3 linked regions of the Ovis aries genome follow. The protein of the gene in region 2 purifies or fractionates together with the protein of the main gene of each other region. This does not show direct contact. Links are inferred from orthologs where the notes say so. Each region holds a gene or a part of one and is shown on either strand. Other genes may lie near its edges.

Region 1 (10,468 bases), on a different chromosome or scaffold from region 2:
CGGAGGCGGAGCCCCAGCTCGCGGGGCGGACCCTGTCGATCGACCGCCCCCCAACCCCCGCCCCCGGCCCGAGCTGCCTGTGCGCGCCATGAGAGCGCACCGGCCGTACCGAGGGGCGTACAGCCGAGGTCACAGGAGCCAAAAGCGTGAATATAAGCCCAGGCTCCATTTTCGTCGCCTAGAAACCCCCGGCCGCTGGTATCCCCTTAAGCTTGCCCGCCCCCTTTAGTTCCCTTGAGTTCTTCCCTGCATCCCGCTCCACTCTTCTAGTTCACGATTTCATGAAAGGCTTTTCCAGAAGAGAAAGCTGAGAGGAGGCTTGGGGCTTGAGTAGCCCTTCCTTGCTCCTCCATGCACAGATGTTTACCTCTTGGATTTGACAACAGTGGGCACTTCATATGCCTGGCACCTGGTATGAGGCAGGAGAAGCAGGAGAGGAAGTATGGGGAAGACAAGTGTAGACAAACAGGATGTGCTTCCTGCCCTTAGGAGTTTTCGGGTATCAAAATGAAGAACCTTGGCTTAAAGTGTAGCTTTGGGAGGCCAGAGTTCTGGTTCCAGCTCAGCTAACAGCCTACAAGCTACATCTTTGGTCTTCGTATCACACTGCCCTCTTCCTGCAAGACGCCACCCGTGATCATTTCTGAGCCTTTCCTGACTTCCCCATCACCATGCATTCTTTTTATCACATCGTGTCTCCTACAGGTGCGAGCAGCCTTAAGATTGGGCTTGTCTCATTCCCATTCATAGCACATAGTATACAAACTTGTGAAATCAGTGATTGAATTGGCTAGAGTGGACAGAGGGTGCTTTCTGTGGGAGGTCAAACTTGCATGAAAGTGTTAGTCGCTCAATCATGCCTGACTCTTGGCGACCCCATGAACGTAGCCCACCAGGCTTCTCTGTCCATGGGGTTCTCCAGGCTAGAACACTGGACTGGGTTGCCATTTCCTTCTTGCGGGGATCTTCCAACCCAGGGATCAAGCCTGGGTCTCCTGAATTGCTGGCAGACTCTTTACCATCTGAGCCACCAGGGAAGCTCTGCATAGACTTGCATAGAGATGGGTAATTCCTGGTTCAGGGGTTGAAAATAGATGGGGCACTAAGGGCAGTGGCTGGGGACTAGAAGTGAACCAGACTGGCAGAGGCAACCCTATCAGGCCACGTAGAGGAGCTGCCTCTTCTGGTTCTGGTAGAATTTCATGTGGTCCCGTCTCATTTGGCTTCCCTGCAACAGCTTCCAGAAGTGAATAAAACACCAAGACGGAGAAAAGCTTGATTTTATTTCTCAACTTTTGGCTTCTTTCTACTGAAGGCAGAGTCCACTAATCAAAACCAGAAGGTGTGGAACCTGGGCAGACATCAGGAAGTAGAAGCCCAAGTGTCTAAGTTCGGGGCCCAAGTTCAGACTTCAGCAACACACCAAGGTCAGAACTTGCCCAAGTCAGAACTCGAGGTTCATGTATGTCCGCAGATCCCGCTCCCAGGCCTTGTCCTTCTCTTCCTGCCTTTTCTCCTCCCTGCGGTTCAGTGTGGTCACCCTAGGGGCTCTCTCCCTCCCAGCCACTGCCCGTATATCCCGAGCTGGGAAATGTGTAACTCGGGGCTGAGGTGCTGGTCTGTAGCCTAACCCCTCCTGGTCCCTCTTGAGGACAGTGGGGATAGGGTTGGCACGGCCCTCACCCCGGGGTCCTAGCCCCATTCCAGGCTCCCAGCCCCCCCTCAGCAGCAGCTTGAAGCCTGGGCTGGAGGTAGAGACCCCAAGTGGTAGGATGGGGGGCCGGAGATCCCGGGACAGCGACAGCAGGTGAGCAGTGGATGTACAGTGGTTAGAGTCTTGAAAGTGGGCATCACAAGTCTCACAGTACTGGGGGGAGGGGGATCGGGACCTGGAGAGAAAAAAAGAGAAAGGTTAAGGGTAACACAAGGGTTTAGGCCTCAGAGGTGGGTGGCAGGGTGGGACAAGGTCCTTCCAGTATCTCTGCCAAGAAACAAATTGTCTTTCCTTCCCAGTTAGCAACAGTGGACCTGAAGGAATGGTTAAGGCCTCACAACGTTCTTGGGTGGGAAATAATAATTACTATAGTTAACATTTGTACAGTGCTTACTATGCTATTAAATACAAGCACTGTTCTAGTATTTTATGTATATTAACCCATTTAATTAACCCTAACAACCCTATAAGAAGTATAGTCTAATTTCTTAGATAGGAAAACTGAGCCACATGGACGCTAGGTTGCTTGCCCAAGAAGTACAATCAGGATTTAAACCCAGAGAGTGTGTACAACACAGAAATTTAGCAGATATTTTACAATGACTATAAACAGAATATCACTTTAAAAAATCCTGAATTGCTATATTGTACATATGTAATTTATATACTTGAATTATGCTTCAATAAAACAAAAATAGATTTAAAAGTTTAAACAATATTAAAAGATAAGGCTTCCCTCACCGGTTCTCTGGACTCCTTGTCTCTCCAGGGCTCTCTCTGACCATGCGGGCCACCTCAGGGAAACCTGCTTCTTCAGCCAACTGAGCAGCATCTCTGCCCCCCAGCTCACAGACCCCTACCCAGGCAGCCCCACGGCCCAGGAGATAGCGCACAGCTGCCCCCTGGCCTGCTCGGGCGGCACACATCAGAGGGGTCCACCAGAAAGCATCCCGAGCATTGATATTCCCTCCAGCTCCCCCTGCCTCACGGGGATCCAACAGCCTTTTTAGTTTTGCCAGGTCCCCCTCCTGGGCTGCCCTCAGTATCTGCTGGGTCGTCTTGTCCTTTGTGTCAAGGGATCTCCTTTGTCCATGTCCTCCTGCTGCTCCTGCTGCAGTCTCCCTCGTCATTCTTCTTTTCTTCCTCTTCCTGGCAGGCCCAGGCTGAGCTCTCTGGGTTTCAGGGGTGCTGCTCTCATCTTCAATTAAGGCTTCGTAAAAAGCCCGGGCTGCAGCCCCCTCCAGGATGGGCTCCAGCTCTTCAGGCTGTGATTGCAGCTGCCCATCTTTCCACAGATCACTGGAATCAGTGGCTGGGGTAAAGTTAATGAGGGAAGACCCAGACATGGCTTTTGGGAAATCTAGGAAAATGAGACTAGGAAGCCAAGCCCCTGGTGGTCCTGCAGCGACCAGAGCCAGTTCCAGACACCTAATGAGATAAACAAAAAGTATCCTTAGCGTCAAAAATCCCCTCCCAACCCAAAAGTGACCCCACAACCTGGGACCCTGTAGGGTCAGTAACAGACAATGCCCCTCAATAAAGGTAAGAAAGAAGTCTCCGTAAGACAGTTGCCCAGACCGTGCGCTCCGCCCCTACCTCCATCCGCACCAACAATACCAGCCTCTCTGAGACAACTTTATCACAGCGTAAAACATACCATTAAGAAAAACAATCAAATTGGCTCTTTAAATCTTCCTATTTCAGGGTAAGTTCTTCCCAAACAAAAACAAACGCGACACGTCTCCGGAAGCAGGAAGCAGCTTTCAGGAAGAGGTTCCAGTCTGTGTCGCTTTATAGCTTCCGTACTGCAAAATGGCGCTACTCTAAGCAAAGGAGTCGACAAATAATCACAGGGCACAAAGACGCATGCGTGGCCGGGGAAACAAAACAAAACAAAACAAAACACCTGAGGGTGCAGGCGCGCGCTAGCGCCGGGTTTTTCCCGCCCTGGAATGTTTCCATAGCAGAAGCACAACGCACCACGTGCCGGGGCAGCGCGAGGACTGAGAAAGATCCGTCGGTTGGGGTTCTGTTTTTACATAACGCCCCCACAATGCCCTTCGCCTCCTCCCTCAACGTGGCCCCCGCTCCGAGCTCATTTTCTGGACCTGGGAAATCACTCTCAGGGTTAAAAAAGGCTCTGAGGCGGAGAATGCCCAGAAACCCTGAAATGAAATAACGTCACGCAGCCCCTCACCATTACTCTGACCAGGGTTCGAAGGTCGCATTTAGCGCCCACAGCAGCCCCGTTCAAGCCCTAAGAGGAAATGGAGAAGTGCAAGGGGACAAGCAGCAGAATGGCTGGCACCACCTCAGGTTAGCCCACGGGGCCGTCCTGGTTCTCACACCGCTCAGCTCATCCCAGTACACCCTACCCAGGACCCTCAGCATGGAACCCGGCCTCACCTCCCGCCTCCGCTGCGCGAACCCCGGATGAAACAAGGGCCCCGTCGCGGGTCTCCTTGGCGGGCTGACTCCAAGGAGCAAGGCAATAAGGGCCAGGAGGGCTGGCTGGCTGGGGATGAGGTCAATGCCCCGGGCAGCAAAGTCTCGCCGAGGCCTGAGGCTCGCTGTTTGATGGGAGAAGCAAGAAGCAACCAGCCAGCCTAGTTCCTCTCCCGGCCCACCCCCTCCCCTCCATGGCCCTGCAGTCCCCGGAATCACACGACTATATTTCCCAGGCTACCTGGCCCAGAACGCGGTACTGAGTTTCCGCTTCCGGTGGCGGCTCGCAGTGCCCTGCTGCGCCCCGCCCCCAGCGTACCCCTCCCCCGGGGCCTCGTGACACCAGGGTCGTGCGCGGGTCATCCTGGGATTTGTAGTTCGCTTTTCCCTAGTTTCGTCAGTTTCTTCTTCCCAAGGACTCCATTTCCCGGCATGCACCGCGGCTCCTAACTCTAAGCACTTGCGCGTTGCCCTCTTCCCCACCCTCCCCAGTTTCCACTCCCCCCACCCCACTTCGCCTGCCGCGGTCGGGTCCGCGGCCTGCGTTGTAGCCGTCGTCGCGGTCTTTGGAAGCAGAAACTCCCCTTCCCCTCCCCGTCCCCCGGTCCCAGTCCCCGTCCAGTCGGTGAGTGTGGTGGTCGTCGCCGCGCCATGTCCCCTGTCCCTGGGCGCGGCACATGGGGTCTCCGCGTCTTGATGTGGGGGTGGGAAAGGAAATGACCCGGTCCGGCACCGAGGGTAGGAGAGGTGGCCCGAAGGGTGGAGGCGGGATGTCGGGACTTCTATGAAACGGACCTGACCACCACCTATAGGCCATGAGAAAAGGAGGGCCCAGCTCTTGCTTGGAAAGGATAAACTTCGGAACCCTTGAGAATGGGGCCAGAGACTTGCGGGGGTAGGGAGCTTGAGCCACGGCCCTACCGGAGTTGACACGGAGGAGAGAGGGGCCTGGCTTTCAGGAGCGTCAGGGATGGAGGTAGGACTAGTGGGGTCAAGACCTGTCGGTTTCTCACAGCTGGTGGACCCCGAAGAATTTCTCTATGTAATCTCAGTGAAAAGGGGCTGGAATGTAAATAAGAGGAGCTAGAGAGACGTGCTCCAGTCTCGGGTTCTTTAAGAAAAGGGTAGCCCCAAATTCTTCCATGGTTTGAGGGCAAAGTGTGGGAGGAGTGAGGATACCAGAGGTTGGGAGGGAGAGCTTAGGCTTATACTCTTCTGTCTCTAGCCGACGTGAAGATGAGCAGCTCAGAGGAGGTGTCCTGGATTTCTTGGTTCTGTGGGCTCCGTGGCAATGAATTCTTCTGTGAGGTGAGTTCTCCTCAACCCTACCATCCACCTCCACATGTAATCTGGCCACATAATCTCCTGCACATAAAGCTTCCACACACTTCTCTTACATACTTTAGTAAAAACTCTTGTCAAGGAGGAGTCTCCTTAGTAGCGCTCTCTAACTTGTGGTGAAGGGTCAAGACTGAGACCCCAAGTCAACCCTGCCACCCTCCAACAGCCTAATGTTGGACTTGTCAACCTGTGTTGTTTTTTTTTTTTTTTTTTTTTTTTACCAGGGAAGTACTGATAGTATGTATTTCTGGTAGCTATTAGGAGAATTAAAACACTTCACGTTAAAATGTTTTATAGCATGGCTGTGTGTTAACATAAGGGAGTGTAACTGACTTCAGAATCCAAGCTGTTCAGCCCCCACCTTCCTCAGAGAGCCAGCTGCCCCTCAGGAGAGGCCAAAACTGATTCCTAGAGCTAGGAACAGGAATCAGGACAGGGATCTTGAAAGGACTGCCTCTGTAAGGAGGGGATTGCTTATGTTTAGGAGAAAAAAGCCAGACCTCTTCTGGGTGGGCAGTATACACGAACTAGGGAGAGAGGTTCAAGTACTTCTGCTGAGTTGGGAGTGTGGAACAAAGGGAATGAAGCAGTTGTGTTGAAGATAAGGCACGAGTTAGAGCACCCTGCCCAGGTCAAAGCTGAGGATTCTGCTTTGGGTTTCCTTTTGACTTCACGTCCTGACAGGTGGATGAAGACTATATCCAGGACAAATTCAATCTCACTGGACTCAATGAACAGGTGCCTCACTATCGACAAGCTTTAGACATGATCTTGGACCTGGAGCCTGGTGAGACACCCTCAGGGTTGTTTTGTGTGTGTGCTGTTTTTTTCCTATTCACACCTTGTTTATCTGCTTCATGAATTTCTAAATTTCCTTTTGGTTCTCTAACCCTTTTAACCCCAAATCCTTTACTTCATTTTGATTCCATACCTCACTCTTGCCTAATTTTGTGACTTCTACACTTGTTCTCATACTCTGATCCTATAACTTAGCACTTATCGAAAATGCTAGTTTCTCCATGGGTGTTATCTTCTTCCTTGCCCCTTCCAGGTTAGAGTTCTATCTTCTGTGTTGACATCTTTGCATTTATTTATTAAAAAAGAGAAGGAAGCAGAGGCTGAGAGGGATGGAAAGAAACCCTTGGGTTGGTGGAAGGGGCAGAGGCCCAGGCTGTGGGTGGGGTGAGGCTCCAAGTTGGGTGCTGGGCTGAAGAGCCAGCAGCCCCTGGGAGTAGGCAGGGCACCTTAAAAAGTTGTAAGACAAGTGGTTGCATTTGGCTGGTGCCATGTTTCAGATGAGGAGCTGGAAGACAACCCCAACCAGAGTGACCTGATTGAGCAAGCAGCCGAAATGCTCTATGGATTGATCCACGCCCGCTATATCCTCACCAACCGTGGCATCGCCCAGATGGTGAGGCCTCTCTACTCCTACTCGGTTCCTTCAGAGGCAACAGGGAAGCAGAGTTTCCATCAGCAAGAAGTCACTCGTTTCAGCCTTGTCACGGAATCTAGCTGAGAAGAGGGGAAAGAACCCCAGAATCTGGGCCTAGGGGTTAAGACCTGATTGAGGGTTGAGGTGAAGGGAGTGTTTTGGGGGAGGGAGATGTGACCTAGAGCAGAAAGTTGTAGACTGCCTCTTCCTCAGGGAATAAGCAGTGAATGTCTGATGATCTTCAGACTGCCTGACTGGATGAAAGGAAGCAGGGGAGTCTGAAGGCCCATCTGAGCCAGAGAAGGGGCCTCTGGACATTAAGAGGCAGAAGGAGTTGGGGACACAGTGATGTGGATTGGGCTGAGGAGGGGGTTGCCTCTTTTCTTCATACCTACCCACCAACTCCTTCAATTTCATTCACATCAGTTGGAAAAGTACCAGCAGGGAGACTTTGGATACTGTCCCCGTGTGTACTGTGAGAACCAGCCAATGCTTCCCATCGGTGAGTGTTGGGAAAGGGAAAGGAGGGCCATGGCAGGCTGGGATGGAGTTGGGGCTCAGCAGGTTGGGGCCTGAGTCCAGGAGGGAGGTTGGGCAGGCTTGGGTAACCTGGCCTGCTGAGTCTGGCTGTCTCCCAGGCCTTTCAGACATCCCAGGTGAGGCCATGGTGAAGCTCTACTGCCCCAAGTGCATGGACGTGTACACACCCAAGTCATCGAGGCACCACCACACGGATGGCGCCTACTTCGGCACCGGTTTCCCTCACATGCTCTTCATGGTGCACCCCGAGTACCGGCCCAAGAGGCCCGCCAACCAGTTTGTGCCCAGGTGGGGAGCAGGGACAGAGTCACCAAGGGTCGAAAGAAGTGCCTTGGATCCCCCAGAAAGAAGGGAGGATGAGGCAGTAGCTAGCCTTGCTGCCATTTTGTGTGCTCAACTTTCGCTAGGAAATTCTCAGAGCCACGGTTGAAGTGTATGATCTTCCTGCAGTATCATTTTTGCTCTGGTGTAGAAAAAGAAAGTTCAGCTTTTATATTAAAACAAGTACTGCCATGTATATACTCATGTATATATGTACAGACACATATTTGTAGCTTTGAATTTGAGTTTTAATAGATATTTAAAATACATTTCCAAATATTCTTAAAGGGAGAAGTTGGGGAACCGCTGCCTTGAAGTACTGAGCAGGCCCATGAAGAAACTGGGGTAGGGGGGAATGCAGGCCACTGGCAGGCCAGGATGGGGCTCACTGTGCTTCCTCTCTCACCTCTGCCCCAACCCAGGCTTTACGGTTTCAAGATCCATCCAATGGCTTACCAGCTGCAGCTCCAAGCCGCCAGCAACTTCAAGAGCCCAGTGAAGACGATTCGCTGATTCCCCACCCCACCTGTCCCTCGGTCTTTGACACTTTCATTCCTTTGCTGCCACAATTTCAGGAACCCTCTATGGTTTTTAGTTTAAATTAAAGGAGTCATTATTGTGGTGGGAATATGAAATAAAGTGGAAGAAAAGGCCATGGGCTGATTGGCTGGTGTTTGGGGTTGGGGAAGCACGGGTAATGGTATGCTGGGCCCCAGGAGCCCTCCTGGCTCAGCCCACTCTCTTCAAGTGGAAAACCAGCACAGATTTGTACCCAGTAGATTTGGGTGATGTTTTTAGGACTGGGTGTAGGGATGTACGGAGATCACGAGGCAAAGACAGAAATCGGATTTCAAAGACTGGAGAAATATTTGCTCTTTTTGTGTTGCCTGCAGTTGGCTGTTTAGGGGATGTAATCAACATCACTTTGAGTTTTATAAAGAAAGTGGTCCCAAAATAAACTGAACTGTAAGGGGTGGGGAGAAGAGGTTCAAGGTCCAGAATTTGCTGTTTTGTGTCTATGTGCCCCCTCCTGGGGAAGCTGAGACATGCTCATCTCAGAAGGATGAAGGTCACTGGGTTCCTGGTTAAAGTTTCTCCCAGAACAATAGGGACTGGCCCTGTTGTGTAGGGAGGATGGCAGATGGTACCAGAGAATGAAACTAATCCATGGACCCTGGAGGGGCAGGAACAGATCTTTGAGGGACACTCAGGACAAAAGTAGACTGCTGGATTGGGGCCCAGATATTGCACCTGTCTGGGCTGCCGCTCCCACATTCAGGAACCAGACCAGGTGGGTGAGGACATGTTCTCCTGCCAAGCTAATTGCTTCCTGCCCCAGGGAGGAGTATAGCTTTGTACCTACAGCAGCTCCTGCCCAGACTACCTGTCAAAACCACCTTGCAGTTCAGGCTCGAGGAGTGTGGTCACGGGGTTTCTAGGCACCCCTCGGGGAATGCCCCTCTCCCCAGAAGTCCATGATGAAGGCCCACATGCTTATAGGTGCACTGGTCATGGTGGGCTTCACGGTGGGAAAGGGTAAGTGGAGCAGGGGCAGGGCAGGAGGGGTGGCTGAGTACAGGGAGAGGGTGGCGGTGGATGAGCGGGATGTTGCAAGGCAGGGAACTTGGAGTGGGCCAACACCACCATCCGTGTCTTCCGCTTCCCCAGCTCCTGTTTCTGAAGTCCGGACCTGCCACCTCTGCCTCTTAGAAAATCCTGCTGTAGGATGCATTTCAGGCTCAGAGAAGTGCACTATCAGCAGCTCATCCCCGTGCATGGTGATCAGCATCAACCATGGTGAGTTGAGTCAGGCAGGGAAGGGGCCACTGGCAGGACAGCCTATGGCATTGTCTCCTCTTGTAAATGAGGGCTGCTTGGGGCCTGAGGTCTAAGGAGATGGAGGTTTCTGGTAGGGGAGGGGTCTGGAGTTCTGGGGAGCCGATTAAGCTAATTTCTTCTGGCCTCTTCTGCAGGAGTCTGGAAAGGAAATTGGGTCTAGGTGAGGGATGGGCAGGTCTGTGAAAGGGGTACCAGTTCTGGTGACTGTGGGAGGCAACAAGGGTTATTAGTTGTCCCTTCTTCTCTAGAGAACAAAGCTCGCTTCTTAATCCGAGGCTGTGGACAACACAATTCCTACCGCTGCCAAGAAAACCTCCCCACCTACATCTCAGAGTACTGGTACTCGGCCCAGTGCTGCCAGTATGACTACTGCAACTCCTGGTACAGTCCCCAGCTCCAGAGTGCCTTGCCTGAGCCCCCTGACAGGTCCCTGGCTCTGCCCCTGTCTCAGTCCCAGATCCTGTGGTTCTACCAAACCCTGAACCTGTCACTGCCCCTGCCCAGCTTCCCTGCTGGGGAGGAGCCTTCTGAAGGCCTGGACCCCCTGGCTGGCCCACCCGTGAATCTGAGTTTGTCCATTGCTGACCTGCGCAGCATATACCTGTTCCTCAACAGTTCTGGACTTTTGACTCTTCCCTGGGCTGGTCCCTGACATCTTTCCCTGCGCAGATAGATTTCTGTCTGGTCTAGCGTCTCACTCCTGGCACCCCAGCATCATGCATTGTCTTCTCAGAACACTCCCACTCTTGGGTCTGTAAGTTCTCAGTCTTCCTTTCTTTTGCCTTTCCTTTGTCCTTCCGGTGTCCGTATGGTTTTGGTCTCGTCTCCTCCCCGAA
Region 2 (10,287 bases):
GGCATCACACATGTGCCAACCAAGCTATGCAATCTGGGGCTCATGGGCAGAGCCAGATGTGGAGCCGGGAGACGGGCCCTTGGCTGTGCTCGGCCATGGACATTGGGGTGTTTGTCACAGCAGCCAGCTTATCTTAGTCACTTGAAGTGTCATCATCGGAGTGAATCAGCCCCTGGTGGCTCTTGAGGGGTTTGCTCCAAAGAAATGTTGAGGGTAGTACACCTAAACTAAGACAACATTGTAAGTCAACTAGACTGCAATCTACATTTTTTTAAAATGTCAGAAGTAGTGGTAATGTCTATCTGTAGAAGGAAAAAGATATCAGGGAACTGGGAACCCATGTGCCACATGGCATGGCCAAAAAAAATAAAAATAACCACTCTGCTCTGTTGTTATAGCTGATCAGTATTGCAGATTAAATGAATTCCTTGATCAGCGACTTACCTGAGACCCGGGGCCCCAGTTAGCAGTCACAGATTAGCCAAGTGTGCCTCCGTGTTCACTCCAGTCACGTGGCTTCTGTTGAAAGCCCTGTTATAGGCTTTCCTCCAGATCCAGAAAGCAAGCCACCATTGCTGCTACTTTTCTCGGTTTTTAAACATCTCTTCTGCTCCCCGAGGCCTCATGTTGGTGTCTGTCTCCAGTGCCAAGATGGCACTTCTTTCTGTCCATGTGGGCGGCCACCATCCGTTCCCTGGGGAATATCTACATAGGGTGGATACATCTCCTGGGGCAGCGCTGTCCCTGATCACTGTGGCAAATTTTGTTCTGTTGTTTGAAGTCACAGTGTTCTGAATAAATGCTCTTGTTTTTTAGTGGCGAGGGCTTGGGCCTCTCCCCAGGGCTTGAGCACCTTCCCCCAGGGTGGCTGCCAGGGTTCAATGTGCACACATGTTGGAACAGCGTGCGAAGGTCTGTGGGGGCTGTGCAGCCATCCTTGTCCTGTTTGTGCCACATCGGCAAGCCTTTTCCGTCTCTCACCTCTGTTATAGCGTGAAAGCAACCACCGGCAAATGTGTGAGTAAAACAGCTACAGTGCAGACCGCCCAGTGTCAGGGTCAGGGTCACTGGGCCCTCTCCAAGTATGAGAGCTGTACTGCCCTGCAGGACCACATGGAAAGCTCTGGCTGCTCCCCCAGTACTCAGCCCTCAGTCTCCATGTCTGCTGTATGCGTTTAGGAACTGTTTCTCGTGTAAATATGTGATCAGAGGCTTGGTGGGCGGTCTGTAGCTTGTTCACATGCTCCACGTGTGGGGCATCACCATCATCGCACCAGTGATGCAGACGGGCTGCCAGTGCTCAGAGGGGCTCCCTCTGTGTTCTCAACTCTCTGAAAGCCACCCCCCTCCATACCCAGAGGAACTGTTGACCTAAAAATCCATAAGCTGGCCTCAGCAGGGCATTTCAGGGAAATCATGTGTGAATTTAGTTTTGAAAATAGAACCTTATTAAATGTGAGGAGGATCCTATCAAGGAAAGAAACCACAAGGTAAATTGTTTGGGGACCTGAAGAACCCTGCCTGCCTCCAGAGGATGGGCCTGTCAATCACAGGCCTCTCCCACCAGCACCCCCACCCTTCTAGAGGCCTGTCAATCACAGGCCCCTCCAGCCAGCAACCCCACCCTCCTCTGGGAGGCCGGTAGCTTTGCAGATTCCCAGTGGCCAAGTCAGCATGTTCTGCCCTCTTCCTCTGGACCTGCAGGCAGCTTGGGGTGGGTCCCACAGGAGGGGTGCACGGGACCCTCCCGTGGTTCCACCGAGCCTTTCCCCTCCCGACTGCCTACACCACTGGCCATTTTGTGGGCTCTGCCTCAGGCCCTCCAGGCCAGCCACACCAGGAGGCTGAGCACCTCCTCTCCTTCAGCCTGCCCATCTCCCTGCCCCAGGTCCACCCAGACAGTGGCCAGAGGGTCACTGGCATCCCCCAGCTGGTGCACCCGGCCTTCTGGCTTCTCCAGCTGAGTTGGGCCCCTGTACTTGCAGGGTGGTCCCTCAGCTCTGCCTTCCTCCACCTCTCCGTATGCACCATCCAGGCCTCTGCTCCCTGGGGAGGCCTCCCACAGCAACCAGCCACATAGCACCCTCCCAGCCCCAGTGAGCCCCCGGCCAACGGGCCCTGCCTTATTTTTACATTTTTACCCCAAAGGCAGGCCAGGCATCATTGAAAGTGAAAAGTGAAAGTCACTCAGTCGTGTCTGACTCTTTGCAGCCCCATGGACTGTAGCTTGCCAAGGCTCTTCTGTCCATGGAATTCTGCAGGTCAGAATACTAGAGTGGGTAACAGTTCCCTTCTCCAGGGGATCTTCCCAACCCAGGGATCGAACCCAGGTCTCCCGCATTGCAGGTGGATTCTTTACCATGAGTCACCAGGGAAGCCCTCTAAAGGCATCATTGGGAGAGTAAATAACTGTTGAATGATTTGAGTGGTGGACGAGAGTTTCTCTCTCAAGTTTTATTTCATCAGGATCAGAGCTGAGGGGCTCCTGCCACTGACCCCAGAGTTGGATGGCCTGGTTGCTGCCTGCCTGGGCCTCTCAGGACAAGGGTGACCCCAGCCTGTGTGTCCTGCAGGTTGTTCCTGGTCATCGAGTATGTCAACGGGGGCGACCTCATGTTCCACATGCAGAGGCAGAGGAAGCTGCCAGAGGAGCACGCCAGGTGGGTGCAGCTGGGGCAGGGGAGGGCAGGCCACAGCCTGGAGGGTCCTGGGAGTGACCCGGCCTTGGTCCTGACCCTCGGCGCACAGTGTACACAGTGATGCCATCTGGCCTCCGCAGAATGATCTCTGTTACTAAATGATTCTCAGGGACAGTGACCACGTTGCCCCCGCCCCACTACACCCACCCCCCACAGCCTCGACCTCACAGGTGGGTGGGGCGTTTATTTCCACCCCATACACATCTCTTTCCTGTTTTCCCATACTTTTTTCCCTTTTCCTCATTTCCTCACTTAAAAATAATTCCATGTGGCACTGTGAGTCACCATAGGTCCTTTTTGGGGAGAGGCAAGTAATAAATCAAGAACCCCACACGCTCATGTTCTCCTTTTTTAATTGTGAAAAATTTGCATAACATAAAATTTCCACCTCAACCATTTTTAAGTGCACGGTCAGCGGCATCGAGCACATTCACGGTGCTATGCAGCCATGCCGACCACCATCTCCAGGACCTTGGTCTCCAGTACTTTCATCACCAGGACTTTTTCCTCTTCCTGTACCGAAACTCTGTCCCCGTAAAACACTCGTTCCACATCCCCTCCCACAATCCACACACCCCTACTTTGTCTCTGTGACTCTGACGCCTCCAGGGACCTCAGAGAAGTGGAAGCCCATAGGATGCATCCTCCTGCATCTGGTTTGTTTCACTCTGTGTCATGGCCTAAGGTCCATCCACGTTGGAGCAGGTGTCAGTGTCGGCACCTCCTCCCTTTTCAAGGCTGGATCCTATTCTATCACAGGAATGGACCGCATTTTATCCTTATCTTTCGATGAACACTTGGGTTGCTTCCATGATTTAGCTGCTGTGAACAAGGGGGTACAAATACCCATTTGAGCCCCTGTTTTCAATTATTTCGAGTTATTCACAGACGTGGAATTGCTGGGTCACATGATAATTCTATTTTTAATGTTTTGAGGACCTTCCAAGCTATTTTCCACAGCAGCTGCACCATTTTCATCCCAACCAGCAGTGCATGAGGGTTGCAGTTTCTCCACATCCTTGACAGCACTTGTCATTTTCTGTTCGAGGGGATGGGGGGCCCGTTGTATAGTGGCTGTCTTGGTAGGTGTGAGGTGGTATCTCATGGTAGGTTTGGGTTGTGTCTCCCTGACCATGGGGATGCTGCCTGTCTTTCCCGGTCCTGTGGGCCCACCTGTCTTGCCCAGTCTTATTGGCCCATGAGTTCATCAGTGGAGAATTCCAACGTCTTGTGTCCTCCTATCCAGGTTCCTGGTTGGGTTCTCTCTGCTGATGACAGGTGTTGCCCCTTCCCCAGGTTCTATGCTGCTGAGATTTGTATCGCACTCAACTTCCTACACGAGAGAGGGATTATCTACCGGGACCTGAAGCTGGACAATGTCCTCCTTGACGCCGACGGCCACATCAAGCTGACGGACTACGGCATGTGCAAGGTGAGCATCCCGCCCACTGCTCCCGCCCGCCCGCCTCCCAGGGTCGTGGCCAGCCTGGCACCCACTCCGTCTCACCCATGCCTGGTCTCTGGCACCTCCACGTGACCACAGTCCTCCCACTAGTGGGGGCGTATCTGGGCATGCCCTCCCTCCTGGTAATTGGCTTTGTCCTCACAGGAAGGCCTGGGCCCTGGTGATACAACAAGCACTTTCTGTGGAACCCCGAACTACATTGCCCCCGAAATCCTGCGGGGAGAAGAGTATGGTAAGCATGGGTGGGACAGGCACTCGGCTCTGAGTCTGGAGTGGGCCATGACACCCAGACACCCCGAGCCCTGGGCCCCTCCTTTGCCCAGGGACTTGGATCTGAGGCGGGAGTGGACGAGGACACCCTGAGCCCTGGGAGCTGCCTCTGCCGGAGACTCTGATGGAGCAGAGAGGGAAGGAGGCAGTCCTAGTGGGGCTAACCCTGCCAGGGTCCTCACCAGGGTCTCTGGGGAGCTGACCCAGCTGCCAAGAAGAGGGTTTCCTGACTAAATTGCACTAAAACACACACCCTTACTTTGTCCAGCCCCAGGTCATCACCTGGCCTCAGTCCCAGCTATTGTCCCATGTGTTCACCTGAGTGTGCCCTGGGGAGGTCACTGGACAGGATCCCTCTGGTCAAGGAGCCTGAAAGGCTTGGGAAGGAGAACACAATGCAAAGACAGGCCCCAAGCAGAGGTCCCACGCCACTGGTGCCGCCCATAAGTGTGGGTTCCCCAAACCCACCAGAACCACCCACAGCCCCTGTGACACTGGAGTGCGTCCACACACTTTCTGGATGTGAAATGAAAATGAGATGCACACCCTCTGCGTTTTGGGGTTCTGCTGTTTTCCCATCACAAATACTCTTTCAAATATTTCCACATATTTTCTTTGCCATTGAAATTGGGGGGTAGCAGGGCGAGCAGGTTCTCTCCCCCTCCGATCCCTGGGCACCCGGGAGGCCAGTACGATTGAAGTCACTTAGTAACCAAACGAGGATGGACAGCAGCCGTAGTCCAAAGCAGAGTCTATAGCCTTCCCAGGATGGGGGTCCTGTGTGTGACAGAGCTGCACACCTTTGGACATCGGGGGTGGCTGGCTGTCCCTGGGCTTCCTTGACATGAAGACAGCTTTGCAACTGCCAGGACAATGGACAGAGTGGAGGCCAGGCCACCTGGGAGATGCTGGGGACACCCAGCCTCAGCTGTGGTCCAGGTCCAGGTCACAGCTGTTGCCCTGTGACTGGATAGCACAAATGGAGAGTTCTGGCCTGACCAGCCTGGCTATCCCTCAGGGTTCAGCGTGGACTGGTGGGCGCTGGGCGTGCTGATGTTCGAGATGATGGCAGGCCGCTCCCCCTTTGACATCATCACTGACAACCCTGACATGAACACTGAAGACTACCTTTTCCAAGGTGCGTGGGCCATATGTCCCGTTCCCTCCATGCCCTGCGGGTTTTCCCCTTTTAGAAGTGGGGGTGAAAGAGTCTCCTGATTGGTTGCCGTGGCTGCCACAGACTAGGTGGGGCCACTTGTCCACTACTGGCTCTCAGGGAGCAAAGTATAGTGGGCAGGGGGATACTGCTCTTTCACATCCACAGGAAAGAATCTGTCCTGATTTGGCCCAGGCCCCCTTCTCCCCACCTCCAGTATGCACCTGAGTCCCGACGGGGGCTGTGCTCAGCCTCAGCTTCTTGCCATCTGGGCCCCTGGAACAGAACTGACTGCCCCCAGGATGCTGGCCCAGGCTGTCCCCACAGTGCTCTCTTGCGCCTGTGGACATGGGGAGGCTGTCCCACGGTGCCCTCCTGCGCCTGTGGACGTGGGGAGGCTGTCCCACGGTGCCCTCCTGCGCCTGTGGACGTGGGGAGGCTGTCCCACGGTGCCCTCCTGCGCCTGTGGACGTGGGGAGGCTGTCCCACGGTGCCCTCCTGCGCCTGTGGACGTGGGGAGGCTGTCCCACGGTGCCCTCCTGCGCCTGTGGACGTGGGGAGGCTGTCCCACGGTGCCCTCCTGCGCCTGTGGACGTGGGGAGGCTGTCCCACGGTGCCCTCCTGCGCCTGTGGACGTGGGGAGGCTGTCCCACAGTGACCTCCTGTGCCTGTGGACGTGGGGAGGCTGTCCCATGGTGCCCTCTTGTGCCTGTGGATGTGGGGAAGGTGTCCCACAGTGTTGTCTTGCGCCTGTGGACATGGGGACACAGGACCAGCTGAGCTGCCATTGGTTCATCCCTGATCATAGCATGCCTGATCGTGGGCACCAGGGCCTCTGAGGCCTGGAGACCTTGCTGGGGTGCAGGAAGAGGCCCAGGCCACCGTGACTGCCATGACCCTCCTGCCCAGAAAAGGTTTCCAGTGCCCTGCAGGCTGCTGGGAAGAGCTGACAGGCTAGGGTCGAAGAGGGGGAGCTGGAGGAGGGCCAGGAGAAGGAACAACTCTCTCCTCCGGTCCTGCAGTCATCCTGGAGAAGCCCATCCGGATCCCCCGGTTCCTGTCCGTCAAGGCCTCCCACGTGTTGAAAGGATTTTTAAACAAGGTACGCTTGTGGCCCCCGTGGCACCCCAGTGGCCATGGCCGCAGCCCTTCCTCAGCTACTGAGGTTGAGGCTTTACCACCTGGTCTGCTAGTTTAGTGCTGGACGTGGGTGTGACTCTGCTTCCTTCCTTAGTCCTGTGGCTGCTTATTCACCTTGACAAAAGCTAATGAGGAGAAATTATGCCGAAGAGGCATTTCCTGAAGGAGCTTAACCCGCTGGGAGGAAGCAGTTTCACCTGGGTGGGGGGCCGGCCATGGGTGGTTTGTTGGTGCTGTTTAAGACCCGCTACTGAGTAGGGCTGCCCTGCTCTGTGCTGACTTGTCCTCATTTGAACTCTGACACACCAGGACCCCAAGGAGAGGCTTGGCTGCCGGCCGCAGACTGGATTTTCCGATATCAAGTCTCATGCCTTCTTCCGCAGTATAGACTGGGACCTGGTAAAGTGATTGGAACCGGATACCCACCTCCGCGGGTTGGGGAGGGACCTCCAGGGGGCAGGATGGGTGGAAATGGGGATGCATTGGGAAACACTGATTGAAAACAAGGAGGCGGGCTGTGATGAGGCCCTGGGGGCAGTGCTTCCTGAAGGTCCTGAGAGCAGCCTTGCTGGGGCGTCCAATTCATGCTGTGCTGGGTGTCCTGTGGGGATGTGTTTGTGTGGATGAGCACAGCCATACACCCATTGATTGAGCTCCATGTCCACGCCCTGAGTCAGCTCACAGATACTTCACTTAACCATCTAGCTAGTCCCAACTAGACACCCAGGTGTGCTGTGGTCCTTCCCCCCACAGTGGCCCTTGACCCACCCAGTCCTGGGGACTCAACCTTCTGGGTCTGGGCCTTCTCCCACCCCAATGCTGCTACCTGGGTCTGAGCTGCCCACATCCTGGACAGTCCCCCGTTTCCTGCGTGGGCCCTGCCAGCAGCCGCCTCCTCCACTGGGCCTTTAGGAGTCCCTCGCTGCCAGGCCCACTCCTGCCTCAGGGCAATGACACAGCTCTGCCCCTCCCAACCTCCACCCACCACCTCCTTCAGACTACCTCAGCACGCTCACTCCCAGCCCCTTTGGGCCTCCTCTTTCCCGTCACACCTCAGGGCTAAGTGGCGGGACTCTGGGACGTCGCTCTAGGGCAGCACCGTTCCAGTTCACTGCTTGTCACTGAGAGCAGAGGAGGTGACACTGTGTGTGACATTCCCGGGGAGTGGGTGGGGGTAGGGGCAGGTGCTGAGCAGCCATGAGGCTCTTAGGTTAGGGATGGGGGGTGGCCTTGGAAGACCCCGGGCCAGCACCTGGCTGCATTTTCCTCATGGTCTGTTCTGACTTGCTATTTAAATCTTTTTAAAGCAGCCTGAGACCTAAAGTAGGGAAAATAGTACAAGAGAAATGTTTCTTTTTCCCCTTTTTATCTGAATATATTTCATGCTAACAAGAATATGGAAACTTGCCTGACAGAAGGCTGAGGGAGAAGGGAAGGCCTTATGTCCCCAGAAGAGTGTCCAGGGTGTGGCCATGCCCACCAGCTCCCGGGGCCCTGGGATCGCAGCGTGCACATGGGCATGTGGGCACCTGCACACATGCACATACACACACTGGTAGCCCCCTTCTGCCAGTGGGATCAGCCCATCCCCTCTGTTCCGCACCCCCCTCCTGCATCCCCTGGGTGACAGAGATAAGCGTGCCTCTCCAGGTGGCCTGGGTGTGCTGGCTGCAGCCTTGACACTACCGGGCGTGACTGGGGGATTCATCTCTGTGACACTCTCACTTCTTGCACCAACTTCGTTAGCAGAACCTGTGTGTTCAGCTTCCCAAATCCCCCAAAGTTATGGGACCTGTTTCAACTTTCCGGGCCCAGTTTGCTTTTGTTGCCATAAGTGGTGTTCCTAAGGGCCCTGACCCCACAGTGCAAAGACAGGGTATGAGCTGAGGTGGACTGGAGGCTTATTTCTGACTTGGCTGGAGCTGTCTCCCTACACGGGACCTTGGACCATGTCTCCAACCCGGTCACATGGAGGCCTCACCCAGGTGGGAGTTTCCAGGCTGGCTCACTCAGGACCCTCCAAGGGAAGGCAGCAGCCAGTCCTGAAAGGCCGAGGTCATCCACCCCCTGAATCAAGCTGTCCCGGCTGTGAGAGCACAGTGGTTCAACTAGAGGGCTGGCTATCCTCTGGCTCCAGATTCCCTTGTGACGGGGACGGTCCCTCCAGGCAGGCACCCCCATGCCTCAGTGTGGCTCTCTCTGAGGTCTGAGGAGCAGGCCTGGCCCAGCACCCGTGTGCAGCAGACACCTGGTGGAGGGAGGGGAGAGGAGGTAAAGAGTGTGTGAACCTGGGGGCCCATGCCCCCCCCTCAGTGATTGGAGCCACTCTTGAGTTGCTCCACCTCCTCCATGTGACTCCACCCTCTCCAGACACCACCATGTCTCAACCCCCAAGATGACAAGTGCATCCCTTTGGGATTAGGAATACTAATCAGGAATACTAGTCTAGGAATACTAGAAATGGCCACTTAAGGCGTCTCGGGAGGAGGGGTCCCAGTGGAACACAGGTATCCCTACCAAGCCCCAGCTCTCTTACCACTGGGGTTCCAAGATTAAAGCTCCCTAAGCCAGCCTCCATTGGTTTAAGGAGCAGGGTTGCAGGCCCTCGATGGCGTGGGGTATGTCTCTCATGGCCTGTGCTGCCAGCACTTTTCAGCTCAAGTAGAGTTTTTCTGACTTCGGCGGAAATTTCTCCTACACTTTAGAGAGCAACAATTGGCCATCAAACGAGGCGTATATACTTAAGCACCATTTCTTCTGTTTGATTCTGTGGTTTGAGTTTGCAAAGCGCTGAGTCGGCGCAAGTGGCTCTGACTGTATCTTCCTGCAGCTGGGGAAGAAGCAGGCCCTCCCGCCCTTCCAGCCGCAGATCACGGACGACTATGGCCTGGACAACTTTGATACGCAGTTCACCAGCGAGCCGGTGCAGCTGACTCCTGACGATGAGTAAGGCCTGCACTACGGTGGGGTGGGGTTGAGCTGCAGGGTCAGTCAAGCTGCAGGGGCGGGGAGGAAGAGTCCCAGGTGGAGGCAGGGCGTCCTGAACTGCTGGGAGGAGGAATCCCATGCAGGGGTGGGGCGTCCTTAGCTGCGGTGCGAGACAGGGCCGGGTCTTGAACACGCCCACCGAGCCTGCTCTGTCCCGGGCCACAGGGACGTAATCAAGAGGATCGACCAGTCGGAGTTTGAAGGGTTCGAGTACATCAACCCACTGCTGCTGTCCACTGAGGAGTCCGTGTGAGGCGCCGCGCTCTCATCGTGGACGCGTGGACGGCCCTGGCCCTGACCCCTGCGCATGCATGCGGGGCCGGGCGTGGGCGGGTGCCCAGGGCAGAACGGCCTCCAGGTGTGGCCCATGGGCCTCAGGCCCAGAGGAACTTACTTCTCGCGCCTGCGCCGCGGGGGCCGTGGTGACCGTGTCTGAGGGAGAAACTGCCCCCAACTTCGAAGGTGCACACTTTCCACAGAAGCAGAACTGACCTGCTCCACCGGGAGTTGGCCTGTAATGTCCCGAGGAATAAAGTGTCCCTCTGATGCTGGCGCTTCCCTCTGATGCC
Region 3 (10,468 bases), on a different chromosome or scaffold from region 2:
CTGCCTCCGGTGACCTTCCTGAGTGAAGGTGTTTGTATCTTCTGAAGTGGGAAAGCTGAGTGTGTTGTTGCCCTTCAGTCACGTCCAGTTCTTTGCAGCCCCGTGGACTGCAGCACGGCAGGCCTCCCTGTCCTTCACCATCTCCCGGAGCTTGCTCCAAGTCACAGCCATCAAGTTGGTGACGCCATCCAACCATCTCATCCTCTGTCGTCCCCGTCTCCTCCCGCCTTCAGTCTTTCCCAGCATCAGGGTCTTTTCCAATGAGTCGGCTCTTCACATCAGCTGGCCAAAGTATTGGAGCTTCAGCCTCAGTTCTTCCAGTTAACATTCAGGTTTGATTTCAGGTTGTAAGTGTGATGGCCTCCGGCATGGCCTTCTCTCTCTCTGTCTCTGGGCCATAAAGCCATGAGCTAAGGAGTGACTGAGCTGAATTTAAGGCATTTCCCTTCTGGCCAGGCCCCTGGGGGTAAGTGGAGGTGAAGCCAGGCAGCCTTGACTCATCTCATCCCCTCATCTAGTGTTTATGTTCTTTTATCTTATTTCCTACCATCTTTTTTCCTTCTTAGGGACCAGGGGATGCTGGCACCTCTTTCACACTCATTTTCCACATTTGTCTGAGGGGATTAAAGGGTCTCCACAGACTTCCTGTTCTCATATTTTGAGAAGGGAAAAGACCAAAAGTCCTTCTTAACTATTTAATTTGAAAATCGTCATTGTTTAATAGCTAAGTCGTGTCTGACTCTTTGCAACTCCATGTGCTGTGGCCCTCCAGGCTCCTCTGTCCATAGGATTTCCCAGGCAAGAATACTGGAGTGGGTTGCCATTTCCTCCTCCAGGGGATCTTCCCGACCCAGGAATCAAACCTGAGACTTTCCCCAGAGAATGCTTTGGCCTGGAAAATGCCAAAATTAGCCCTTTTATTGTGCTTAATTGGTCTCAGCGCATATGTAGTATTCTGGTCATTACATACAGTGAATCATACAGCTTTTAAGCAGAGGCCTAAATGGCCTGAGAGATCCTTCAGAGATAATGGATGGTGTCTTCATTTTGGTTCAGTGAGACCCTGGTGGATAGGAACACCCCCTCCCAGCCCTCATGTGTCCACAGTGGCGTGTGTCAGGTGTGCCTCAGCACCAGCTATGGGTCTGAGCAGTCAGACTTTAGCCAGTATTCCCAGATATCTGGGCACGTATGAATTCTTCCTGTTAAAAATAGTTACGTTAAGGCCAAAGAAGATTCGACAGATCCTAAATACCCTGTCTTACTAAATTCTTAGATTTTTCTTGTTCTTACCAGTGCTGACTTTCCGAAAAGTTTTTCAGGAAAAAATTTAACTGTATTTTTCTCACTTATTTAAGAGTCCTAGGAGGTGTAGCCTGACTTGGTAAAAGAAATTACTGTATTTTTAATGAAACATTCATCACACTGGTAAAAAATATTGGGAGTGGGGTGATGTATTATGTTTCTTGTAATGTTGCAAATTATGGGGGCTCAGACAGTAAAGAATCTTCCTGCCATGTCGGAGACCTGGGCTCGACCCTTGGGTTGAGAAGATCCCCTGGAGGAAGGCATGGCAACCCACTCCAGTATTCTGGCCTAGAGAATCCCCATGGACAGAGGAGCCTGGCAGGTTACAATCCATGGGATCATAAAGAATCAGGCACAACTAATTAACTAAGCACAGCATTTTCTAGAGCAAGTAAAATTTAGCTTTTAATCATTTTTGTGGGCCTCAGAGTTGCTGAACTGTTTCAGGAAATGTATTTTTTCTGAGCAGGAGTAAGGGGTAAATAGCTTCTAAATAAATGTAAATAGCTTCTGTGTTTCTGTACAAAGATATATTTATCACTGTAACATTCTGGTAGAGTTTTGATACAGTAGTTCTTATCAGGCTTTTTAAAAAGTTAACTTTTCAGGTAGCTGCTCAGGGATTAAATGATTTGGAAAAGCCTATCCCTGCTCCATGTTACTACAAAGAGATACATGGCTCTTTATACCTAGCTGCAGGGCACAGATAAGTACACTTTAAACTTTCTAAGAAAGTTAAATGTTTCACAGTGATGTTGCAATCTCATCTTGAGCTACTCTTTTCAATCCCTAAAATCTCTGATGGTGTGCCCCCTTTTTATTTTTCCAACTTGTGAATTCCATATCTGGGTGAATCACTAGTTCCCTTGAGCACCTTTGTATGTTAATAAATAGATGCACTAAGCAGATTGCATGTCTCAGATGTTTGGCTTCTGCTTCTAATAATCATGGAGGGCAGCACAGATCCCATTTACTAGGGGAAGAACTGCCCAACACCCAGTTCTTGGTAGAAACCTTTCCTTAATGTTGCATCTCTGCTAGGAATAAAGAGATGCCAGAAAGGAGACAAGCTTGTGCTCTGTGGAAAGAACTGATTTTATACTGTGATGCCTAAATCCATTTAATTCAGCTCTCAAGGAAACCTGTGGCCAGGCATTTAAGATACCATTCCTTGTGACTATAAAGAAACACTGCACCTGTGGGGAAGCAAGAGTTTTATTATGTTTTATTTGATCAGAATATTATAACTTTCAGGAAAAAGCTCAGTTCAGATTTATGTTGTGTTTTGAGACTCTTTTCTTACTCACACAGGCATAGGTCTGTAGAAGCATCAACATTCGCACATGACTCAAACCCATTAAAAGTGAATCTAGTACATATTGTGTGTGGCTTCTTTCTTGGGTCTCCTTTCCCTTATTCACAGAATGCTGTTTAGATTATATTAATATTAGTCATATCTTTGCCACTGATTTGGAAAGATTTATTTTCTTGGTACCTTATAGTATATTATGGTTCCTGGTAAAGTAGGAACATTGGTTCTTAACCTAAATATAATGTAAGCCGTGGCTTCTTGCCCCCCCAAAATAATGTTCCATCAGAACCTAGGTGTAAGGTTGGAGGGCTGCAAAAGTTAACCAGGCATTTTGCCTTCAGGAGCTCCAGGGGGTAAGGGGCAGCTGCCAGGTAAACGAGCAATGCCAGGAGGTTTCTGCTGAGAAAAGAATGAAGTACAGGGACCCGGTCACAGAGGCATGAGTTCTGGTTTTTCAGGGAAGAGGAGGAAGAGCCAGGAAGGCCTTTCATGGGAGATGACCTCAGAGGCTGGTTTTGGGAGTCAAAGACAGCAAGAGTGCATTCCACGAAGTCACAGAAAGCCTGGTCATGCTTGAGAACAGTAGATGGAAGTTTGGAGAGAAGCCAATTAAACAGCAGTCCTGGGACACCAGACTCAGAGCCACTCAGCTAAAGAAGTTTCATTTCAGTTGCTCAGTCATGTTTGACTCTTTGCGACCCCATGGACGCACGGCAGGCTTCCCTGTCCATCGCCAACTCCCAAAGCTTACTCAAACTCATGTCCATCAAGTCAGTGATGCCATCCAACCATCTCATCCTCTGTCATCTCATCCCCTTCTCCTCCTGCCTTCAGTCTTTCCCAGCGTCAGGGTCTTTTCCAATGAAAAGAACTCTGCATCAAGTGGCCAGAGTATTGGAGTTTCAGCTTCAGCATCAGTCCTTCCAATGAATATTCAGGACTGATTTCCTTTAGGATGGACTGGTTTGATCTTGCAGTCCAAAGGACTCTCAAGAGTCTTCTCCAACACCACAGTTTAAAAGCATCAATTCTTCGGCACTCACCTTTCTTTATAGTCCAACTCTCACATCCATACATGACTACTGGAAAAACCATAGCTTTGACTAGATGGACCTTTGTAGGCAAAGCAATGTCTCTGTTTTTTAACATGCTATCTAGATTGGTCATAGTTTTTCTTCCAAGAAGCAAACGTCTTTTAATTTCATGGCTGCAGTCACCATCTGCAGTGATTTTGGAGCCCAAGAAGATAAAGTCTCACTGTTTCCATTGTTTCCCCATCTATTTGCCATGAAGTGATGGGACCAGATGCCATGATCTTTGTTTTCTGAATGTTGAGTTTTAAGGCAAATTTTTCACTCTCCTTTCCACTTTCATCAAGAGGCTCTTTAGTTCTTCACCTTCTGCCATAAGGGTGGTGTCATCTGCATATCTGAGGTTATTGATATTTCTCCTGGCAATCTTGATTCCAGCTTGTGCTTCATCCAGCCCGCATTTCGCACGATGTACTCTGCATAGAAGTTAAATAAGCAGGGTGACAATATACAGCCTTGACTTACTCCTTTCCCAATTTGGAACAAGTCTGTTGTTCCATGTCCAGGTCTAACTGTTGCTTCTTGACCTGCATACAGATTTCTCAGAGACAGGTAAGGTGGTCTGGTATTCCCATCTCTCAGAATTTTCCACAGTTTGTTGTGATCCACATAGTCAAAGGCTTTGGTGTAGTCAATAAAGCAAAAGTAGATGTTTTTCTGGAACTCTCTTGCTTTTTCCATGATCCAGCGGATGTTGGCAATTTGATCTCTGGTTCCTCTGCCTTTTCTAAATCCAGCTTGAACATCTGGAAGTTCATAGTTCACATACTGTTGAAGCCTGGCTTGGAGAATTTTGAGCATTCCTTTGCTAGCGTGTGAGGTGAGTGCAGTTGTGCAGTAGTTTGAACATTCTTTGGGACTGGAATGAAAACAGCTTTTCCAGTCCGGTGGCCACTGCTGAGTTTTCCAAATTTGCTAGCATATTGAGTGCAGCACTTTCATAGCATCATCTTTCAGGATTTGAAATTCCATCCCCTCCACTAGCTTTGTTCGTAGTGATGCTTCCTAAGGCCCACTTGATTTCCCATTTCAGGATTCCTAAACTTCTTTAGTTCCTGAAGATTCCTGTTGCTGCAGAACTAAAGTTTAGGAATCAGATTCCAAGCCTCCCTGGGAGGCTACACCGGAGGCCACCAGCAGAGGGCAGGGTCCTGCCCACTGTGCCTTCTGGTCTGCAAGGCGGCGGCGCGGAAGCACTTCCCGGCTGTGGGGCGGGACTTCCGGCGGCGGTCCCAGATCTAGGGGGCGCAGCGGCAAGGAGTTGTCCTTCTAAGCGAGAGTTGTATTTCGAATCTGCACGTGTTCGCCACCGCCTCCGCTGCCAAAATGTTCCAGCTGCTGCGCTGCGTGCCCCGCGTCCTGGGTTCTGCCGTCGCTGGTCTCCGCGCCGCCGCACCCTCCCTGCCGCTTCTGCAGCCCGCGTCCCGGCCATGCGCCCGGCCCTTCGGGCTGCTGAGCGTGCGCGCGGGGTCGGTTCAGCTGCCCGGCCTCCTGAAGCCTCGGGGGCCCTGCGCTTGCGGCTGCGGCTGTAGCGGACTGCACACCGAAGGTGAGACTCATGCACGTGGGCCGGGGGCGTGAGGGGCGTGGGCCTAGGTGGGGCGGGGTGTTAGGGGCTGGGAGGTGTAGACCACCTGAATGGACAGTCCGGAGCCGCTCCTGAGGTCCGGAACATTCTCCCAGTGATGGTCGACCTGCTAGTTAAACCCACGCGTAGTAACATTTCCCGTCCTCCCCCACCCCTGTTTGACTGCGGGGATAGATACTGTAAAGTCCTGGAGGCCGGCTTTACCTCAGTCTCTCGAAAATGGAACTTTGCGAAAGCCCAAGGTCGCGGTTAGAAGTAGCGTGATGTTTCTTGGCAAGTGAAAGGGTAGTGGCGATTTTTTTTTTTTTTTTTTTTGCTTTATTTTGAAACGTCGTGAGAAGTTCATTATTCGGGATCACTTTCCTAGAATCCATGCTCAGCTTCCCACTGATAGCTTACATTTTTACAGATGAAGGAATTGAGGTTTAATGGATATGAGTTGGGCTAAGTCCACAGAGCCACCATTAATAGAAGTATTAGGAAAAAACAGGCTAAGTCCTGGTCTTTGCTTGTAGTAACGGGGTCATTTTCCATTTTAGACTAATTGGCTCTTTCTGTAACTTATTTCCATTGTAGGAGACAAAGCTTTCGTTGACTTCCTCAGCGATGAGATCAAGGAGGAAAAGAAGATACAGAAATATAAGTCTCTCCCCAAAATGTCAGGAGGTTGGGAATTGGAAGTGAATGGGACGGAAGCCAAATTAGTGCGGAAAGTTGCTGGAGAAAAGTAAGTACCAGGGGCCTATGGAGCCCAGGGGACCACATCCATAAACCTGCAGGACCTGCTGTGAGGTATCCACAACAACTTTTAGTTAAGACAGGTGCTTAACTGACTCCTGGTTTCCCAGAGATGGTATGATTCGTTTGGATAACTTCTTAGGCTCCTTTTTGCTTATTCACTGCACAGTAATGTGCTGTGGTGGTTAACAAGGAGACAGTAAGCTAGTAGCGGGGTTCCCCAGTGGCTTGGCGTCCAGAACCCACCTGCCAAAGGAGGAGGTGTGAGTCTGAAATGGCAACCCACTCCAGTATTCTTGACTGGAAAATCCAATGGACAGAGGAGCCTGGCAGGGAGTCCATGGGGTTGCAGAGTCAGACACGACTGAGTGCCTGAACATCACCCCAGTAGCACTGAAGCCAAGCCACTGGGAGTCTTCTGGACCAGTAGAGGCAGCAGTCACTGAGCCCTTCCTGGTGAGTGAGGCTGTGCCTTGCCCACAACTAGGCATGCAAATTCAGAGATTCCGGCACTGCCCACAGAATCGGATTTACTCTGCTGGGTCTACTACCCTCAGGCTCTGGCTGAGGAAAATAAAGCCCCTGTTCTGTTTACAGTTGAGAAAGCAAGATAATTAACAGGGTGGGGTTGCAGTATAGTTTTTCATTAGAAAAGAGGGATGCTTTTGGCCTGCTTAAGCTGTTTTAAATCCACGGTCCACTTTGAAGTTTTGCATGCGCTGTGAAGCAGCAGGCTGGTGCTTTTGCCTAGTATTGTAGTGCTTTCCCCGTCATAGATCAATTGTGTGGTCTGTAACGTGACCCAAACCACTCTCCTAGGCGAAGTTATAGGCAGTTTGGGACCATTATAATGTGCTGCTGAACATAGCTGCATTTCTCTGTCCAGGGGTCAGTTTGGTCCACACTGTCACAGCTTAGACAGATTTTGTGCCTGTACATCAAACTTCTGTCTGTCAAGGTGCCAGTTACCATGGCTTCAGAGGGCAGCGTTGTCTGCAACCTAGCAGTGCTCGTTCCAAGTGTCACTCAATTTTCAGTTCAAATTTTGGAATATGATATGTCAGGTGAAGATTCTTGCAAGTTAAAATTGTCATTAGGTGGTGTTTGTGGCCTGCCTTGTCATTTATTAAACTTCCTACATCTGCTCTGAAGAATAAAACTGTCCAGCAGCATATTCTTTTTTTTTTTTTGCCACACTGCTTGTGGGAATCTTAGTTCCCTGACCGGGGATCAAACCCAGGCCATGGCAGTGAACACACCAAGTCCTAACCCCTGGCCCACCAGAGAACTCCTCTATGTGGTGTCCTTTGTGAGGCCTCCCCTTCCTGGGGCCAGGGCTACTCTCCATCCTCAGCTGATGCCACAACCCTCCGGTGCTCCTTCTCTTCCTCTCAGGCAGATTTTCTTCTAATGGAGGAAGATTTTTAAAGGAGGCTCCTGGGACTTAGTGGTGGTCCAGTGGTTAAACCTCTCCTCTCCCAGTGCAGGGGACCTGGGTTCAATCCCCGATCAGGGAACTAAAATACCACACATAGCAACAAAGGTCACATGCACCTCGCAACCAAGACCCAGCCCAGCCAAGTACATTTTATTTTCTTAAAGGAGGCTTTTGGAACTTTGTGGTGGTCAAAGTGTCTGCTCCCAGCGCAGAGGACCTGGGTTCAATCCCTGGTCAGGGAACTAAGATCTCGCATGTAGCAACTGAGCGATCCCATACATAACAATGGTCATGCGTACCTCGCAACCAAGACCCTGTGCAGCCAAGTACATTTATTGTTTTAGAGGAGGCTTCTAGCCCATGCCCACAGCTTCTCAGCTGCTCACCACCACTGGGAGGTGCCCTGGAAAGACAAGAGTGGCGGTGTCAGCTGACTGTGGCTATAAGGTTGACAGAGAGCCCCGGATAGTGGCCTGATGGCAGAAGCACCAACACACAACTGTATTTGGCTGAGGAAATAGTGCCTAATTGACTTCCAGCAGCCAACACATAGTAGGCCCACTTCAGACCTGCTGAATCCAACTGTGGATGGGATGCAGGCAAATCAGATGTAAAGCCGGCTGAGATACATTGTTTCAACAGCATTTTTAACTGTAGCAAGCCGTAGTACTCAGCTACTCAGTTAAAAAGACATCTTCATTGTGCTCTTTGGTTGCCTTTCTAGGATCACTGTCACTTTCAACATTAACAATAGCATCCCACCTGCTTTCGGTGGTGAGGAGGAAGAACCCTCCCAAGGGCAGAAGGCTGAGGAGCAGGAGGTAAGTTTCTAACACTGTAACCAGCCTGTACCCACCTATTTCTGACAGGCTTAGGGAAGGAGCATTGGTTTTTGTTTTGTTTAAATTCTAACGCCAGGAGAGAGGGCAAAGGCAGCCATCCTTGGGCCTTTACTTGCAGAGCACCAGAACTGTGTGGCCACTTTTCTTTCCCAGGGGCCAAGTGTTAATGAATTGTTTTCTGTGGGCTTAAGCGTTATAGTTTGGCCGGTGTTCACCTAACAGGAAGGAATTTAAACTGTCTTAACCCTTCTCATGATCAGGAGATAAATCATTTGGAGTGTTCCACATGAGGAATACATGTCCCGAGTTGGTAATAAACACCAGCCAGGGGCATCAGAGACTTTGGCAAGGCCTCTCCTTAAGTTGCTGCCCTTCTTGGTTGGACCTGGATGGTGTTTAGTCCTCGAACATTTTAGGAAGCTTTGTGCCTGGCCTAGAAACCAGCCAGTATGAGGGCCACAGGTCCCCAGACTTTCTGGCTGGGTGGGCATGGTATTGTCTCATCACCCAGCTCAGCTCCCTGGAGTGCTGGCCCAGCCCCCCTGACAAAGACCACCCCCAACCCATCCATGAGGTTGGCTGGCTCGCTCTCAGAGCGCCTCTGGGCCTCTAGTCAGAGGCACCAGCCTTTGGTCCTGGGCTGTAATGAAGATCCCAAAACATCTGGAAAGGGGTTTTGGAGTTTTGAGCCAGCTTTGTAGTGTATAGATGTAGAAACTGACCCAGGAAAATTAACTGGCACACTAGATGTGGCTAGAGCTGAGTTCCTATTTCTGAACCTTGTATGTTCTTTAAACAAGCAGGGTGCTAATAGAAGTGAAAGGCTGTACTAAATTATGATACTCTGCCTCCGAAACAGTCCATAACGCTAGAAAGGAATGACAGGATGTACTCGGCCCAGTCTCTGAACAAGTGGGTTACGTGGCTGTAATACTGTGTTAAAGATTCTAGGCTTCTTATTTGGGAACCTCTTAGCGCAGTGTCGGAGAAGGCGATGGCACCCCACTCCAGTACTCTTGCCTGGAAAATCCCATGGATGGAGGAGCCTGGTAGGCTGCAGTCCATGGGGTCCCTAAGAGTCAGGCTTGACTGAGTGACTTCACTTTCACTTTTCACTTTCATGCAATGGAGAAGGAAATGGCAACTCACTCCAGTGTTATTGCCTGGAGAATCCCAGGGACGGGGGAGCAAGACTTGTAAGTGGCTAAGTAATATCGTAATAGCAGTGGCCGTCAGACCCCTGAATTGAGACCTTTAGTCCAGACCCCTGCCACCAGACCCTTGCCAACATTTACTGACTTGTTCTTATTTCCCTAGCCTGAATTGACATCCACTCCCAATTTTGTGGTTGAAGTTACAAAGGATGGCAGCAGCAAGGCCCTTGTGCTGGACTGCCACTATCCAGAAGATGAGGTGTGTAGGGTGGAGAGCTGGCGGCCTGGGGGGCGGTGGTGGGGGGCCTCCAGGGGGCTTTCCTGGTTCCATCTAGCTGATATTAACATTTTCTGGCTTAGAGCAGCAAAGCTGGGAAGATTAGTGGGAGGTAAGGGAACAAGGTTAAAATCTGAGTTTCAAGCTGTAAATAATCCCTTTTCTTCGCCTGAGTCTGGCTTGTCCTGGAAAACCTTTCTGTTTCGCCAAATACTGTCTCTCTTCAGATTGGACAAGAGGATGACCAGAGTGACATTTTCTCCATCAAGGAAGTGAGTTTTCAGGCCACCGGCGAGTCTGACTGGAAGGACACAAATTACACACTCAACACAGATTCCCTGGATTGGGTGAGTGCTAGATAAGGTGGGGAGGGGCCTACCTAATCCAAGGAGAGACAAAGAAGCATCCTAGTAAGTGTCTCAGGTGTCTGTCTGTTTTTTTAACTAGTAAATGATCCTTCTAGGGCTTATACGACCACCTAATGGATTTCCTTGCGGACCGAGGGGTGGACAACACTTTTGCTGATGAATTGGTGGAGCTCAGCACAGCCCTGGAGCACCAGGAGTACATTTCTTTCCTCGAAGACCTCAAAGGTTTTGTCAAAAGCCAGTAGAGCAGGCAGCAAGGTGCTGAACACCTTAATTTTATGGCAGGCTTTGGCCAGTGAACAAAACCTAACTCTGAAGCCAGACCCACATGCTTTGAAAAAAATTTTTTTTT

What was found. Proteins that work in one complex are often made in the same cells at the same time.
Region 1: the proteins of PRKCZ (region 2) and CSNK2B purify together in Homo sapiens (affinity purification with western blotting; 3 studies listed by BioGRID and IntAct, with this or other methods). This does not show direct contact. The link is inferred for Ovis aries from reciprocal best matches to the Homo sapiens genes PRKCZ and CSNK2B.
Region 3: the proteins of PRKCZ (region 2) and C1QBP purify together in Homo sapiens (affinity purification with mass spectrometry; 5 studies listed by BioGRID and IntAct, with this or other methods). This does not show direct contact. The link is inferred for Ovis aries from reciprocal best matches to the Homo sapiens genes PRKCZ and C1QBP.

Annotation. Positions count from the first base shown.
Region 1 is NC_056073.1:26,710,233-26,720,700, reverse strand, and holds CSNK2B (casein kinase II subunit beta), read left to right. Parts: upstream 1-4,659; 5' UTR 4,660-4,784; intron 4,785-5,384; 5' UTR 5,385-5,395; coding exon 5,396-5,467; exon of another isoform or gene 5,468-6,184; coding exon 6,185-6,287; exon of another isoform or gene 6,288-6,795; coding exon 6,796-6,911; exon of another isoform or gene 6,912-7,358; coding exon 7,359-7,434; exon of another isoform or gene 7,435-7,570; coding exon 7,571-7,760; exon of another isoform or gene 7,761-8,215; coding exon 8,216-8,306; 3' UTR 8,307-8,446; downstream 8,447-10,468. Other genes in the region: GPANK1 (G patch domain and ankyrin repeat-containing protein 1), read right to left, coding at 1,445-1,889, 2,456-3,060; LY6G5B (lymphocyte antigen 6 complex locus protein G5b), read left to right, coding at 9,269-9,329, 9,462-9,590, 9,881-10,284. UniProt on the Homo sapiens protein: Regulatory subunit of casein kinase II/CK2.
Region 2 is NC_056065.1:49,910,450-49,920,736, reverse strand, and holds the end of PRKCZ (protein kinase C zeta type), read left to right. Parts: intron 1-2,573; coding exon 2,574-2,660; intron 2,661-3,995; coding exon 3,996-4,131; intron 4,132-4,308; coding exon 4,309-4,396; intron 4,397-5,452; coding exon 5,453-5,572; intron 5,573-6,612; coding exon 6,613-6,692; intron 6,693-7,039; coding exon 7,040-7,129; intron 7,130-9,560; coding exon 9,561-9,676; intron 9,677-9,883; coding exon 9,884-9,971; 3' UTR 9,972-10,264; downstream 10,265-10,287. UniProt on the Homo sapiens protein: Calcium- and diacylglycerol-independent serine/threonine-protein kinase that functions in phosphatidylinositol 3-kinase (PI3K) pathway and mitogen-activated protein (MAP) kinase cascade, and is involved in NF-kappa-B activation, mitogenic signaling, cell proliferation, cell polarity, inflammatory response and maintenance of long-term potentiation (LTP).
Region 3 is NC_056064.1:25,994,459-26,004,926, forward strand, and holds the start of C1QBP (complement component 1 Q subcomponent-binding protein, mitochondrial), read left to right. Parts: upstream 1-4,936; 5' UTR 4,937-5,037; coding exon 5,038-5,260; intron 5,261-5,875; coding exon 5,876-6,026; intron 6,027-8,199; coding exon 8,200-8,296; intron 8,297-9,634; coding exon 9,635-10,024; coding exon of another isoform or gene 10,025-10,095; 3' UTR 10,096-10,211; coding exon of another isoform or gene 10,212-10,361; 3' UTR 10,362-10,468.